Linked DNA regions of Oryzias latipes. The main gene of each other region encodes a partner of the protein of the gene in region 2 in a complex. Links are inferred from orthologs where the notes say so. Each region holds a gene or a part of one and is shown on either strand. Other genes may lie near its edges. The genes, in order: ykt6 and ptar1.

Region 1 (4,438 bases), about 25 Mb from region 2:
CCGTGTATAAAGGATATATTGTCCTTTTAGGGGTAATTTACATTCCCAGCACTTGACCTACATAATGCTCCGCTGTGGTTCTCTCTGACATGACTGCATTTTTTTCTTTTTTCAAACTGAAGTCATAAACCTGAAAGAAAAGTCTCACAGATTTCTCTTCATTCCTACTCGTTTGTTTGGTGCATAAAACCACATGGACGCGCCTTCATTGTTGCTCAAGTTCCATTACAAAAATGTGTGGGACTTGTCCAAACACTAATTAAAAATATATATTTTAAAAAATAATTATTTTGGAAAGTTGGAGGAGTAACAAAAAACCCAAAATTAATAAATAAAAAAGTCAAGTTAGAAAGTTTTCAGATAAATCCTCGCTTTGGCTGTTAACAACAAAAAAAGGTTAAATGACAAAAAAAAAAGCATCCAGCGTCTCGGTGAAAACGTTGCTGTATCTCAACAAAACCAAAAGCAATTCCACGAAGGACAAATCATTTCCTCCCTTGGTGCGACTGGTCCAACAGATGCGCCTTTATCATTTTGGGTTGCTTTGGAAACCTGTAACAGGCGTGCCTCTCACACGAAAAACACTTACTTACACCGAGTTAAGTGGACAGGAGGAAATTGTTAAATGGAGCAAAATTACAAGAGAAAACATCAATTGAGGGTGCCAAGTCTTTAGTGGACTAATCGACATTTTCACCTCCCACCTCCAAAAAAAGAACCTTCAGACATAAGTCTGTATGGGTTCATGAAAAAATCGTCTAATAACTCGATGCGGGAAGGGTGACCCAATTAAAAACTGTATTTGACGTTTGTTAAAAGTACAGAGCAGGGAGTACAGTTGGTAAAGGTTTTGTAATTTTTAAAATAAAATACTAGTCATTGTAAGTAAACGTTGCTACCCAACACCATTTATATAACAACCATCAATAATAAAACACATAGGACACATTTTTAAACATTTTTTGTAATTTATTTAACTAAGCATCACTGATATGTACTAAATATGGGGCAGTCGTGGTGCAGTGATAGGGCGGTCGACCTCTGATAGGAATATTACGGGTTCAATTCCCACCTTGCCCACCCATGTGTCGAAGTGTCCTTGGGCAAGACACTGAACCCCACCTTGCCTCTGGTGGAAGGTTGGCGCCAGTGTTCAGCAGCAGAGTTGCCACCAGTGTGTGAAACTGTGTGTGAATGGGACTGTGACTGTAAAGCGCCTTAGGCCTTCGAAGATGGTAGAAAAGCGCTATATAAGTTTATGCCATTTACCTACTAAAACATGAGACCCTTTGACATCTAGAGGTAAACTAACCAGTTATTCTAAAAAAATGTTTTAACTTTATTTACAGTGAATCCATTTTATTATTGAGTATATGATGGGGGGGGGGTTATACATGTGAAGTACAAAAACATGAAAAAGAGGAATGTTGAGCTGAATATCCATGTTACCTTGCATGCTGCCTGACGTCTAGTATTACTACTTTCTTTATTAATGTAATTATGAAATAGCTATTGTTTATTTATCAAATGTACTGGTGACTCTGATGAGTGAGAGATTTTTAAATACATTTTTAACAGTTCACCGGTACCTTAAAAAGACACCTCTACAATGTTCCTCGCATGAGAGCGGAACGATGAATACAGCGGTTCGTGTTTCTTCCGAGCTACTACACCGTAGGACCGCGTTGGGGCAGTGACGTGGTGGCTGATTACTAAAGTACATCTTGGACAGTTGACGCTAATTAAGGTGTGGTTCGGTTATCTGAGCCGTTCGCAACTCACCATCAAGCTTTAATTAATTTGAAACAAGTGATTCTATTTGCTTTTTTGACCGGAAATTTATCGCTCACTGCTGATTTGCCTGGTAAGTTGTCTCGGGCCTCAACCAAACTAGTTAGCATGTTTGGCTAACTTCTTCTGCCGGGTTTCAGGAATGTAATCGAAAGTAAAATTGATGTACGAATATCTGTCTGATTGATTTCATGTAACATCCACATGATTGTTTTTTTAACTAGCTGGTAATTGTTAGTGGCAGACAGTATTTTCACTCTTGAAGGAAGTTGGCCCCCTCTCTTGGCCATCCAAGTTGTGTTGGATATTTGGATAATGCTTACTTCTTGTCCTTTTAATCAGATTTGATCCGAGGGATAAAAATGAAACTCTATAGCCTGAGTGTCCTCTACAAAGGAGCGACCAAATCAAATCTGTTGAAAGCGGCCTTTGATCTGTCCTCCTTCAGCTTCTTCCAGCGTTCCAGGTGAGTTCCACTGACCGTAACTAAAGTTTATTTTGACTGTACCGGAAGTAACGCACAGACCGCGTTTGAACTAGAGGCCTCCATGAACTTAAGCTTTGCTTTGTTGTCATCATTAGTGTGCAGGAGTTCATGACCTTTACCAGTGCCTTAATTGTTGAGCGAACGTCACAAGGGACCCGTGCCTCTGTCAAAGAACAAGGTAACACTGAGCTGTTTTTCATTATTATACATTAATCATAGCAAATGCCTTATTGTTATCACAGTGCCTAGGAAAAACTGTCATTTTTTAAACTATAAATTGTAGTATTATAAGAAGGGAAAAAAGGAATACAAACAGAGAAGAATGTATTGTCGACCTGAAGGAGTTCATTGTCTCCAAAGTGCTTTTTATATTCCCACAAATTCATTAGTCTTTTTTATGTAGCTATAATGTAGCTAGGACTATTTTCTAATAATACCTAACAAAATGATGTTTGACAGCTAAATGTAAACTTAAAAGGAGACTTTGATACTAAATAAAAATCACAGATGTTAGTTCTGTCTTCCTAATCCACTGTTTTCTTCTTTTGATGTTTTATATCTTGTGGGGTTTGTATATTAACAGGGGTGGAACAATTGATCGTATTATCAATTTTTGTTCCTATGATCCAACCAGACCTGTCTGAGGCAAGTTGTTAATTGAATTGACCTACACACTATTCTAAAATTGTTCCAAAATATAATAAATATCAATATTAGAAAATACCATTTAGATTTTACTACAACGAAAAACCACCAAGTGCCATCTCAGCAGATGACGCACAAGTGATGGCAGCAAAAATGGATCAATCCATCATTACAGTCCAATGTGTGGAAGTTTTGCGAAGAACTTGTTCTGTCGACAGTTTTATCAGAAAGCTACATAAGATTTTAAAAATGGAAACGCATGATCTACGGATTTACACGTACCTCTTTAAGCTGAATGTTTGGCCCACTTTGAGCCTTTCCCTGTTAGAAAAGAGTTTTCATTGTTTTGGCGATTTTTATTTTAATTGTTTTTGTTTTATTTTTTTAGAGTATTTGTGCCACGTCTATGTGAGAAATGACAGCCTGGGTGCTGTGGTCATCGCAGATACAGAATACCCACAGAGGGTCTGTTTCACATTGCTTGACAAGGTAAGTACAACATACATTTTTCAAGCAATTGACTAAAGATTTTAAAACTCAAATCCTCTTGATTTCTTTTTTTGTTCTTTCTAGGTGTTAGATGAGTTCTCCAGGCAGGTGGACAGTATAGACTGGCCAACTGGTAGTCCTGAAAAAATAAACTACAAAGCCTTGGATATTCACCTGGCTAAATATCAGGTCTGCTTTGCTATACCATTGAATGTCTATTCACATATCTGAACTGGAGAAAAGGAATAGTTTATTAAGTTGTAGAGTTTACTATTAGAGAATTTTGCCAAACTTATTTTTCGAAACATGTTACTGAGCTGTTTGTTCTTTTTTCCTCAGAACCCAAGAGAAGCAGATGCGATGACTAAAGTACAAGCAGAGCTGGATGAGACAAAGATCATTCTGGTAAACTTCCCTGTCTTCAGTTTTCACTAAGTTCTGAATTCTTGTACTAAATCTACAGTTTAAAAAAAGCGAACTGGTGTTGCACAACGTGTGCGTATTGTGTATTTCTGTCCATTTGTGACAAAGTGAACTTGTTCACAGGCATTAAAATTGATTGACGACCATGATGGCGCCGATCTATATCCGTTTGAGCTATTAGCTCCAGCCTTGGTCGTAGCTAATGCCGAAGCTGACTTCAGGGGCAGTGAACCTGCAGGAATACGGTTGAATAGTCTTTCTTTGTTTAGGAAGGTTTCTAACAAAGTGAAATGACCCAGAAATGTCAACCTTGATGAAAACATGTCAAACTCTCTTAACACAGTCAATAAGCTTCAATGCTTACTTTAAATTCTTCTAGCATAGATGGACAATCCATGTGAGAAAAAAAAATACCTTTTCATATTTAGAATTCACTTTTATACGGTTATTTTATTTGAGCAGAAATATCTTTTATGAACTATAAAGTACTCTTTCTTTTTAATATTTTATTTTTCCCTACTTTTCCTTGAAGATTTGGTGTTTTCTGTCGCTGTGAAATAAAACTGTAGAAACACTAAAGCAATTTGACTTTAAACTAAGAGG
Region 2 (3,265 bases):
AAAGCATTGTCATGTGGGATTGACGACCTCACCAAGATGGCGTTACGCTCCGCCACCGTTGGCCAGGCTTCCCAAGTGGGCGTGTCTCCTCTAGCGATGTACCGTAATCACTTTGGGATCAGTTTATTTAGAAGGAAACAGGTGGCGGCATCAGCAGGTGGCGCTCTGCTTTGACGTCATGTTAAAGATGTCTGCCTGAGTGTGGCTTTCTTCCTCGTGGATCCTTCAGGATCTTTTTGATTAGGACTTCCTGATGTTTAACAGGAGCACAAGCGGAGGATTTGGATGAATTGATCTCACTGTTATGTGGATTTGCTCTCATCAGTGATTCAGTTGATCAAGTTTACATATTTGTCTGAGCTCCGTTGGGCGGGTGCAGGTGGAGCTGATGTGAGCAGAACCGGTCTAAGCTTCCAAACCTGAAGCGGTCCGCCGTCATTGGAGACCAGCCTGCTGACGGATCATGGAGTCATGCAGAGAATGACGGGTAAAAACGACAGGAAGTGATGTCAGAGGCAAAAGAAGCGGCTTTTATTGCAAAGCGCGTTTCTGGTCTACCCAAAACCATTCAAGTACCTTAAAGTGTCGCTGCCATGGGCCTGGGGGGGGCGAGGCATGCACATGTAGCTCTGGGTCTGAGGAGGTCAGTGTGAAGGTCACCAACCGCTACATAGTAAAGACCCCCCCAGGAAAGAAATGCAGCCCCCTGAACGTGTGAACGGAGTCCGTCAGTCACACTGCAGAGGGCCTTTCCTAAGAACTGTAGTGTTCTGGACCGGCAGAACTCCGGGTTCTGCTGGGTCCTACCGCTCCCCCTCCTGTTTCTGTTCTGCACGCCGGCATGAGTAGGTGTGGAGAAACACCCCCCCCCCTGAGAAGGAGTCAGACGGCTGAGGCTTGAGCTAAAAACACTGGAACGGGAGGCAGCCCCCCCCACCACCACACCAGCTGGGCTTCGGAGGAGCTGCTGGGTCAGAACCGTCCAGAAGGTTCTGGATGGTTCCGTCAGAGTGAAGGGGCTCTGCAGGCAGGTGTGCTGGTCCTTGACCTAAAGGCAGCCTCAGTGCTACGAGGAGGCGGGGCTTAGAGTTGGCGGTGTCAGGACGGCACGCCCACCACCGTGTCCAACCACTTCCTGTAGGCCAGGGCGAAGCTCCTCTGCTCGGGGCCGCAGCCGTCCAGAAGGCCGCTGACGAACACGTGCTCAGTCTGTGAGGTGGGGGGCTGTGGGAGTGGGACACCCCTCCTCAGCCGTTTGATGTCCTGTGGATCTGAGGAACACCCCCGCTCCACCTCCATGGGAACTCCAGCGGAGGTCTGGCTGAGCCGGGTTTGAGCGCCCTCTGCTGGATCCCCGCCTTCATCACCGCCGTCGCCCGGGTGCTGCTCCTTCCAGCGGTGCCACAGGAAGAAGACGTGCCTCCTGGGGGGGGGGAAACAACATGATCTGAGGAAGAGGAGCCCCAGCAGAGCTGAAGAAGACTTCCTGCTGAGAGGAACTGACCTGTGGCTCCAGAGGGTCTCATGTCCGGGAAAGGACCGGATCAGATCTGAGACCAGCTCCAACTCGTGGCAGAAGAGCTGCTGGACCGCGGGGAGGTCGTGCGGCGGCTCTTCGACTGCGGATCGCTCGCCGTTGGAGCTGCAGCCAGCGGGCGGAGCCAGAGCGCCGGTCAGCTCCTGCAGCAGGAACTGGCGGTAGTGGAAGCCGCTGTGGTCGGACACGTGCGCCGACACCCAAGGCCGCATGGACGACAACTCGTCCAGGAAGACCTGCAGGAACGGGGAGGGAGAACGTGGGAAACCCACCGGAAGAACCACTGCGTACCCACTGACCCCCCACAGCTGGATCAAAAGTGTGGGCAACGTTAACGTTGGGAGGTGGGGTCATCTGGACCCCACACGATAGCACAAGGGTTACAGAGCAGTAACTTTAATATCACACATCTAAAGAACTCCAGAATCCAATCTGTGGATTTCAGGACCAGAGCAGCTCATCAGGAGGTTCAGGACTTTACCAGGTGGGTCACTCTGGCTTTTGGGGTCACCAATCCTCTTTTAGACAGCGTTGCTACGACCCCTGCTCGTGTCTGCATGTTGTGTGTGAGTGTTTCTCACAGCTCCTGCACAGCTGCTGACTCCGCCCCCCCTGCAGAGCTGATTGAGCCTGCTTTCAATCGCCTGGCTGGGAGGGAAGCTTTAAAAACTCCCAGGATCCTCTGCTCCAGCTGTATTCCTGAGAGGATTGTTTCTTCTGCCTGGCGTCAGCTTGAGAAAGCCTCTGGTTTCCCTCGTACCTTGATTCTGCTTTTTTCCTTTTGTTAAATTTACTCTTGTTGCATTTTGAGTAGTTTTGTGTTTTGCTATAAAGCCTGACAGTTTAAGTTCTACCATCATTTATTCCACCTTTGGTGTTTTGTTGGTTAGTTTCCTTTGATTTTTATGTGTGGCCGACTTTAACCCCGCCCAGTTATTTCTTTTTTCTTTATGTTACATCCTTCCTCCTTGAAGAGGGAATAACAGCATTGAGCTCCACACTTCTGACCGAGTTCTTCACCGAGTCAGACAGACAGAACCCGGCACTGGACTCGACGGACCCACCTTGACGTTGCCCTTGGCCAGCCGCTGCAGCACCCAGATGCGGTGCGACCAGGCGTTGTAGTTGCTGGGATAGCGGCAGGCGGCGTCGGCGCACACCTTCATCTCCTGCTGGAGCGTCTGGGCCAGCTGCTCGCCCAGGAGCCGGCTCCTCTCCGCGTCCGTCTGGTTCTGGTCCGCCGGCGGAGCCTTCTGCAGGAGGTGCAGCAGAACCCAGCGCCTGCAGACATCAGAGCACGCCGTCGGCATGCCAGCTCCACCACAGCTGTGTGTTTACGTCCTCACGTAAACTGTTTCCTCTCGCTATGAACGAGGTTTATTCCTTAAAGGGTCGTTTAAAACCGCTGTGACCACATTGAGTTATTTCTCTTCAATATTTAATCTTCTTTACGAGTTTAAAATGTTAAAGAAGAGAAAATAACTGCAAATTCAGCAGCTTTTAATAAATAGTTTACAAACTAAACACATACGTGTCTTCGAAGGCTTCAACGGTTATTTCTGACCAATAGTCTCACCTGGAGTGAACCCAAGCAGATTAAAACTATGAGGTTTATCTAACCATCACTAATATCCACATTTGAAGTCGTGGACAGATGCATGAACCTGAATCTGAAGGAAACCCGCCCTTCAGAACTGTGGTTCTGAACATCAGCGGTTCAGGTCACAG

What was found.
Region 1: the proteins of ptar1 (region 2) and ykt6 are in contact, whole or in part, in a crystal structure (PDB 6J7F), measured with the Homo sapiens proteins. The link is inferred for Oryzias latipes from reciprocal best matches to the Homo sapiens genes PTAR1 and YKT6. Residues at the interface, in NP_001093136.1 of Homo sapiens: Glu31, Gly33, Leu34, Ile35, Pro36, Val48, Val50, Glu51, Lys53, Leu54, Gly55, Ser58, Lys135, Tyr191, His225, Ser228, Met229, His230, Val231, Ser232, Asp233, Phe298, Asp301, Leu302, Ser305, Tyr306, His309; in NP_006546.1 of Homo sapiens: Met1, Ser29, Phe30, Phe31, Asn83, Glu84, Pro86, Gln131, Asn132, Pro133, Arg134, Gln180, Phe184, Arg189, Ser193.

What each region holds. Positions count from the first base shown.
Region 1 is NC_019867.2:5,871,676-5,876,113, forward strand, and holds the start of ykt6 (synaptobrevin homolog YKT6), read left to right. Parts: upstream 1-1,627; 5' UTR 1,628-1,747; exon of another isoform or gene 1,748-1,864; intron 1,865-2,133; 5' UTR 2,134-2,153; coding exon 2,154-2,257; intron 2,258-2,373; coding exon 2,374-2,456; intron 2,457-3,311; coding exon 3,312-3,412; intron 3,413-3,496; coding exon 3,497-3,601; intron 3,602-3,751; coding exon 3,752-3,817; intron 3,818-4,438. UniProt on the Homo sapiens protein: Vesicular soluble NSF attachment protein receptor (v-SNARE) mediating vesicle docking and fusion to a specific acceptor cellular compartment. Functions in endoplasmic reticulum to Golgi transport; as part of a SNARE complex composed of GOSR1, GOSR2 and STX5.
Region 2 is NC_019867.2:30,527,362-30,530,626, reverse strand, and holds the end of ptar1 (protein prenyltransferase alpha subunit repeat-containing protein 1), read right to left. Parts: intron 2,819-3,265; coding exon 2,602-2,818; intron 1,774-2,601; coding exon 1,505-1,773; intron 1,424-1,504; coding exon 1,099-1,423; 3' UTR 510-1,098; downstream 1-509.